Linked DNA regions of Ovis aries. The protein of the gene in region 1 purifies or fractionates together with the protein of each later gene. This does not show direct contact. Links are inferred from orthologs where the notes say so. Each region holds a gene or a part of one and is shown in the gene's direction. Other genes may lie near its edges. The genes, in order: PTPRR and MAPK14.

Evidence for each region.
Region 2: the proteins of PTPRR (region 1) and MAPK14 purify together in Homo sapiens (affinity purification with mass spectrometry; 4 studies listed by BioGRID and IntAct, counting the BioPlex papers as one, with this or other methods). This does not show direct contact. The link is inferred for Ovis aries from reciprocal best matches to the Homo sapiens genes PTPRR and MAPK14.

Annotation. Positions count from the first base shown.
Region 1 is NC_056056.1:149,058,804-149,062,619, forward strand, and holds part of PTPRR (receptor-type tyrosine-protein phosphatase R), read left to right. Parts: intron 1-3,202; coding exon 3,203-3,316; intron 3,317-3,816. UniProt on the Homo sapiens protein: Sequesters mitogen-activated protein kinases (MAPKs) such as MAPK1, MAPK3 and MAPK14 in the cytoplasm in an inactive form.
Region 2 is NC_056073.1:10,093,471-10,097,386, forward strand, and holds the start of MAPK14 (mitogen-activated protein kinase 14), read left to right. Parts: upstream 1-1,344; 5' UTR 1,345-1,346; coding exon 1,347-1,462; intron 1,463-3,916. UniProt on the Homo sapiens protein: Serine/threonine kinase which acts as an essential component of the MAP kinase signal transduction pathway.

The DNA of each region.
Region 1 (3,816 bases):
CTCCAGGAGGAAGAAGGTAACATATATTCTCTTATTACAAGAAGTCATATTTCTTTTCCCTGAAATGAAATTTTCATTTTGTCTAGAACCCTTTCTTTTTCTCCAATTGTAATTGTATATAATGTCTGGCATGTAAGAGGCCTTCCAATACATTTTGTTGTTGTTGTTGGTACTGTATTTTAGAATTACTGTTCTATGGTGAATAGTCAGAAATACTTGCATGTGCTCTGAGATCAGTTCAGCTTTTCACAGGCAAGCAGAGAACTGAGGTAAATTATTCAAATTTTGATCCAATGAACTGGATGATTGGAGTTTTAACCAGTTACTTCAACTCACTTCTTCATTTTAGTTAGGGAGTCTAAATTTTCTGTTTCAAAGGCACAGTTTTACCTTCTTGGAATGTTGCCATCTTGAGTGATTTTAAACCTCGAGTTCCCATTTCACATCCATTTGCCATTTCAATCTGAGAAACTTAGACTTTAATACTGTTTCCACAGTTACAAGCTTCAAGTTAATCATGGCCCTGGGAATTGAGCTCTCTAGTGTGTACACAACCCCCTTGGCTTGCAGTTCTCAGCATAGACTGTTGGCTCCAAATCATGCCCATGGGAATCAAGGGCTGTGCCTGCTTGCTCACCCTGCCTGACAAACACTGCTGGTGAGCCAGAAGTCGGTGGCTCCTCATCAGTGTTTGCAGTAACAGAGGAACCCATCTCTGGGCTTTCCAGAGGAAGGGGAGTGAACAGTCTCCAATACAAGGTCCAATATCTATTGGCAGCTTCCACAGCTTTGCAGAGCTGAAAGTAAGCTGTTAGATAAAAGGAAGTCTCTGTTTCTCAGAGCTACCAGATGGATTTAGTTTTTCTAATCTTTTGGATTTTCCATAAAGCATGTTTTCATAAAACATGAAGTGTGCTTAAAAGTATTAGGTTTTTCTCATTACTGCATTTCCATATCCTACTCATCCTTCAGTTTTACTTTCTGCATCAAAGTGTGTGTATTCAGTCACTCTCGTGTCCAACTCTTTGTGATCCCCTGGACTGTAGCCTGCCAGGCTTCTCTGTCCATAGGATTCTCCAGGCAAGAATACTGTAGTGGGTTGCCATTTCCTCCTCCAGGGGATCTTTCTCACCCAGGGATCAAACCCACATCTCTTGTGTCTCCTGCATTGGCAGGCGGATTCTTTACTACTGTGCCACCTAGGAAACCACTGCATCAAAGTGTATTTTTGTATAAAGGAAACATTTTTAAAACCATAGAAAAGCACAGAGAATAACATAACAAACAACTGTGAATCATTAAATGGCTTTTGTTTGATTTTGTGTGTCTGTTACTGATGGCATTAATGTAGCTTTCCTACATACTCCCAGCAAAATTCTCCTTTTCCCCTCCCCAGAAGCAAACTGTACCTTATAGTTGGGGTTTTGGATAGAGTTTTTCAATAGTTCTTCCCTTTTCTGGATTTCTGGTTTTTGCCAGGAGTCTTCCAGCTACCTAACATGACCAAGCCCTATGGCCCCTGTCCCTACGCAAGTGTTAAAAGACTCGAAGGTGCAAAAGCAGTATAAACTTCAGCTGGGTGTACATTTTGATTGGAAACCAGTATACTTCTTCTGACCTCCCCCACTCCCTTTGATTTCTGTGTATGTGTGTGTGTGCGTGCTCAGTTGTGTCTGACTATTTGCAACCCCGTAGACTATATATAACCTGATGCGAAGAGCTGACTCATTTGAAAAGACCCTGATGCTGGGAGGGATTGAGGGCAGAAAGAGACGGGGAAGACAGAGGATGAGATGGCTGGATGGCATCACCAACTCAATGGACCTGGGTTTGGGTGAACTCCGGGAGTTGATGATGGACAGGGAGGCCTGGCGTGCTGCAGTTCATGGGGTCGCAAAGAGTCGGACACGACTGAGCAACTGAACTGAACTGAACTGAGACTATAACCCACCAGGCTCCTCTGTCCATGGAATTCTCTAGGCAAAAATACTAGAATGGGTTGCCATTTCCACTTCCAAGGATCTTACTGACCCAGAGATCAAATCCACGTTTTCTGCATCTCCTGCACTGGGCAGGCACATTCTTTACCGCTGCGCCACCTGTAGCAATGAGTATTTGGTCCAGTTTCCAATCACTTATTTTGTACCAACTTTACGTATAGAGAAGTTACTATTTCCTAACAAAGCTATAAACTATTGAAGCAGTATTAATTCTTCTTCCACAGCAAACTGGGAGAAGGTCCTCTAAGAGTTCTTACACTCCAGTAGATTACACTTAAAGCCAATCGCTTAATCACAAAAGTGTGTACATAGACCTGCACCTCATTTTATAGAACAGATGGTATTGCAGTCATCTAACAGTTACTGTTAATCTTCTATGGTCAAATTAGGGAATTAAGCGTTATAAAATAAGAAATGCCTATGAGCTTTGTTTCCCCACCTTGCAAAGCATCCATTTCAAGTGATTATGATGCATTTTTGAAAATACATAGTTAACTGATTTTGAATGTAATAACAGCACCCATGGCTTAAATTAAGGATGTAGTATTAATTGCACACCTTGGTTTATATTTTAGGAATTCTTAAATACTTAGTTGTCTTTTTCCAAAGCTATTTGAAAATTAAGAGTGTGTGCCCAAGCAATTGAATAAGAATTATTTACCTTAGACTGAATTATCAGTTCCATTGATTTCTTTACCAGAGTTTGAGAACGCATCATTGCAGCTCATTCTTTTGCCTTGCACTGGCAGCAAATTGCTCTATAGAGAAACTGCCAAGTCTGGTGTTATGGAACTTACACAGAATCTTCCTCTCTGTGACTGTGTGTGAACACAAATTAAAGATGTCCTCTGGCTTGGATTACTGAAATGTACTTGGCTGCACGTTCCATTTTATCATCTGGACTTAAAGCAAAATAAATCAGTACACGTTTCAGTGAAATTCTTTATGAATTGATCATTCATATGAATTCTTGATTATAACTAGACAAATCACATTATTATACAATGTACCATCTTCTTAACTAACACCATTTAAAATTTCATGTAAAACGTCCCTATAATTTTATCTCCATTAAAAATAAAATAAAGCACCATGGCTGTGAATTTCTCAGAGTCACAGGAATTTCTGTGGTCAGTCATCCATCAGGAACTGAATGTTGAAAATCAAATATTTACTATAATTTGAATTTTTTTATTTTCCAGACACTGCAAATGGATGTAAACAGGCTGAACATAACCTTGCTTCGGATATTTCGCCAAGGAGTGGCTGCAGCTTTAGGACTCTTACCCCAGCAAGTGCACATCAATCGCCTCATTGTAAGATACCTACATTTCGCATTTCCGGAGTATAAGCTTTGATCTTTATTGCAGGGCTCAAGAATAATGAACAATAATAAAGAACACCCATGCTGTCATTTTATGGCTCATGAGCCAAATCTGGCATAACACCTGTTTTTGTCAAAGACGTTTTATTGTAACAAACCGTAGCCATTTGTTTACATATTGTCTAAGGCTTCTCTCATGCTACAATGGCAGAGTTGAGTAGTTGTAACAGATCGTCTGTCTAAATTGAAAGTTAAAATATCTGTTATCTGGTCCATTACAGAAAATGTTTGTCAACTTTCTCATAGTTCAAGACTAGCTACCCTGGTAGGTAAAAATAGAAAGGCCCTGAATACCTGTCTCACCAATCTGACACTCCTCCCAAAATATTCTCCCTAAGAGAGAAATGTTTTGTATCAGGCAAGACTCTGTCTCCAGACAGCATCTATTAAAATCCCTTTAGGTATAAGAGGATAAAGGATAGTGAACACGAA
Region 2 (3,916 bases), on another chromosome or scaffold:
ACATTTATTATCTTGTTCAGCTTTCAGGTGGGAAATTTCAGGGCAGCAATTCTTTTTTGCATAAACTGGAACTAAGGTCTAAGAAAGGTCAATTGACTTGCCCAACAGGATACTGCCAGAAAACCACTATCTGCACTGTTCTTACTCTGAGAGGCATGATTACAATTCTTAAAACCCTCTTTGCTGGAAGCTCTTCAAGGTAGGAATCAGTTTCAAACCTTCAGGGTAAAGGTTTTAAAATGTTTCTCCAAGGGAGATACCAAGAACTTTTCTGAACCTGGCGCATTTTGTAAAAATGCACAGTCTTGGAGTCCCTCTGGGACCCATCTAATCAAACTCGCTGTTCATTTTTAAGCGCCCAAGGTGCTTCTTCTGCACGTAAAAGTTTGAGAACTACTAGAAGTGTCTGGGTGGAAAAACCTCAACCTTAATTCAGGGCTAATATTTACCTTTGAGACAGATTTCGTCAGCATTCCGAAGAGTAAGTGTATGTCCTTGAGCAGATGGGACTACAACGGCTTTCTGGCCGGAATCTTTCTCTTTTTTATGCAAGTACTTCTTGGAAATTGGGGGTTTTCCGCCGAGCAGGTGCTCAGCTGCTGGTGATTACCCACCGTTTAAAGGTCTTTTGGCTCTTTTCCCAGACACCCGATTGATTTGTCACTGTCTCTTTCCAACAGGGAGCCAAGCACTTGCCCCGCCGACCACGATGGGGCGCGCGCGGCCTGTATCGTCTGCTTCTCCGCTCCTTCCCGGGTCCGCCTTCGCGCGCTAAAGGAGAGCAATCCCTGGGAGTTCCTGCCTCTAGGGGCCAGCTGTTGCTCTCTTCTCGCGAGAATTACTTCTCCCAAGCTCTCCCTTCATCAACCCCCCTCCCGCGGGCAGGTTCCATATTGGGTAAAATCTCGGCTCGAGGAGAGGTCCGGGAGCTGTTCTCGCGAGAGCACGGCGGGAGGCTCCTGTTCGCTGGCTCTGGGAAAGGCGACCACTGGAAGCTCCGCGGGCGCTGCAGCTGGAGCTGTGACCCCGCCGCGCAGCCGGGAGTCGGCCGGGTGTGGAGAGAGCGCAGGGAGAGCTGGGCGGGGCGCCAGCCCAGGGCCCCGGAGCGTGCCCCGGCCCTTCGCAGTGCTTCCCCCGCCGTCGGTGAGGCGCGTCCAGCCGCTGCGGCTGACAGGGGCCGCGCGCGCGCGCGGGCTTCTTCAGGGTCGCCGCAGCCGCACCTGCGCGGGCGGCCAGCGCAGGGGTCCCCGCCCGGCCGGGCGGGCTACGAGGTCAGGGGAAGCGGGTGCGGGTGCAGGCGGGGCCCTGCAAGGGCCACCTCCTCGCCCCGCGGCCACCGCTGGAAGATGTCTCAGGAGAGGCCCACGTTCTACCGGCAGGAGCTGAACAAGACCATCTGGGAGGTGCCCGAGCGTTACCAGAACCTGTCCCCGGTGGGCTCCGGCGCCTATGGCTCTGTGTGGTGAGTGTCACCGGGCCGGGGGCCTCGCTGGGCCGGGTGTCTCCGTATGCCCTGGAGTCAGGCCTGCCCCCACGGCTCAGCAATGCACCCAGCGGCAGGAATTTTCCTTGGGGGGAGGGCATCCCAGCCCTCTTCGACCCCTGTCCTGCACTCCCTGTCCCCCTTGCACCCCCACCCTGCACGCCCACGTAGATGGTCAGCTGTGTGTAGGACGCAGGTCCGCTGTGGGCGGTGGGTGATGGTGTTGGAGCCGGGCCCTGACTCGCACCCTGCGCGTTCCCTTGGGGGTGGGGGTGGGGGTGGGGGGGCGGTGCTGCTACGGGGGCAGGAACAGGGGTCCCTCTTCGGAGGTCTCTCCCTGCTGGCATCGAGCAGAAGGACTCTCTCGAGATGTGCCTGCCCTCGGAGCAGACAAGCCCGGGAAGCTGCCCGGAGAAGCAGAAGGGCAAAGCTCGACTGCGGTCATCTGAACAAAACTGAGGACGAAGGGCGTTGAGTTCGGGCTTTTTTGCAAACCTCTGTCGAAATTGCATTTTGAGAAGGGTTCTTTTTGAATTCGCACTTGAATTAGCAGCTATCCAGGGAGCTTAAAATACCGACTTTATCTCGGTGAGCCCTGTGCCAGCTTGAGTGGTGTGTTTCCGATTCAGTTGAAAGCGTATTTCCTTTTCGCAGAGTGGGGGGTGGTGGTAGTGCCTGCAGCTTGAGAAGCTGGCGGCCTCGCTGATTAGTCACATACCACTGCTCATTTAAGTATTGTTTGACAAAACGATTTTCTCCTTTGGAGCAAGTGAGGTTCAGATCCGTTGGACGCCCTCAAGATCAAAAAGTTTTTAACAATGCTGCGATGTATTATAAATATTTTTTAATCGTGATAATTCTTGTGAAACACTGTGTTTTTAAAGTCCTTTAGAGGGTTTGCAGAGAACTTAATCTGCACTTAAGGCCTGAGAGGTACATAATGGTTTTCATGGGATATGGAATATATAGCAAAAGAAGGAAGAGACACTTTTCAGCTTTAATTCACACTATGAATGTCTTTTAAATGAAACGCTACTGTAAAATTTCCAGACTCAGTTCACTAACTTTTCTAACTTCTAAGGTTTTATACACTGTATTTTAGATTTTGTGTAATTTGAGAGCTGACCTGAAGCTAATTCATGTAATTCCTGTGCATGCATTATTTGCAAAGAGGTCTACAAAATTAGTTTTTTGTTTCGGGGCAGGTTCCAGGCTTTTAGACTTGGTAATCTTTGAATATAATTCCTGTGTTTCTTAAAGCCCCAGCATGAATTTCCTGTTTGGTAGAATCTTCTGGGTAATTGAGATTGTGCAATTGTGTCCAGCAACAGATCATATTGCGTTTTCTAGTTCAGGCTGCTTGAGTGATGTCGCTGATGGCCCTATGCTTGACATCTTTTTTCCATTTTTATAGCGTGCTGTTGATTCGCTAATTTTCGAAGATGTGTTTGGATCATTGCTGCTTTAATAGCTCACTTGTTTACGGCCAGTTTTCATTCTGGAATTGACACATTAATTTTTGTGGTACTGAATTTTTGTTTCCTATCATTGTTGTTTAAACTTTAGTGGAGTGATACGGCTCAACTGTGGGGAGTTAGTGAACTGCTTGCAAGGTTTCCCTACAGTTGATGTGAGTAACTCAGCCCTGGCACTGGAGATCCAGTGAAGTGCTGATAAAACATGAACTCCACATTTTTTAGTGCTTTATTTTTCTGGTTTATAGAAGCCATCAAAACTGACACTTGGAAGTAATTTTGTTAAACAGGTTTTTAAAAGTAGGTAGTACATTCACATTGTATAAAATGTAAAAGGCATAGAAAGACAGTGAAAAGTTTCCATTCTCTTTGTCCAGCTGGACTAGTTCTTTTCTCAAGAGACCACCCCTGTTAAGTTTCTTGTGTGTCTTTCTGTGGAGGCAGTTCTGCTAAGGTTGTTTAAGGTGTAACCTATAACATATTGGTGGAGAAAAATAACCAATATTATGTGACAGTTGACCGTAAACAAGTATAGTTGATTTTGGATTGAAAATATCAGAATTTACATTCACATGTGTTATCTCATTCAGAGTAGTTATTTCAAGTTGTTCTTTCAGTCAGCAGCTTTTAGGTGTGGCAGAAAAAAAAAATGTTTTTTAAACTTCTCTTAGAATCCACTTTGGAGCCTGTGTTATTTTTCACTCTCTTCATTTTTTTTTTAGAGCAGATTTGATTTTAGGAAATAACGAAGTTAGATTGAATCCAAATCATTTAGAGAATTTGGGCTCAAGTCTGGTGAAAAAGATCAGGCAGCCAGGCTGGTGATACTGTTTGAGGTCAAATAGGAGTTGTAACCGTAAAGTAATGACACAGAATTTCCTGTGGGACTTGTAGAACTGGATTGAAGTCTGTTCCAAAAAAGAATCTCTGAAAGTATTTCAAGGAATGCAACATCACT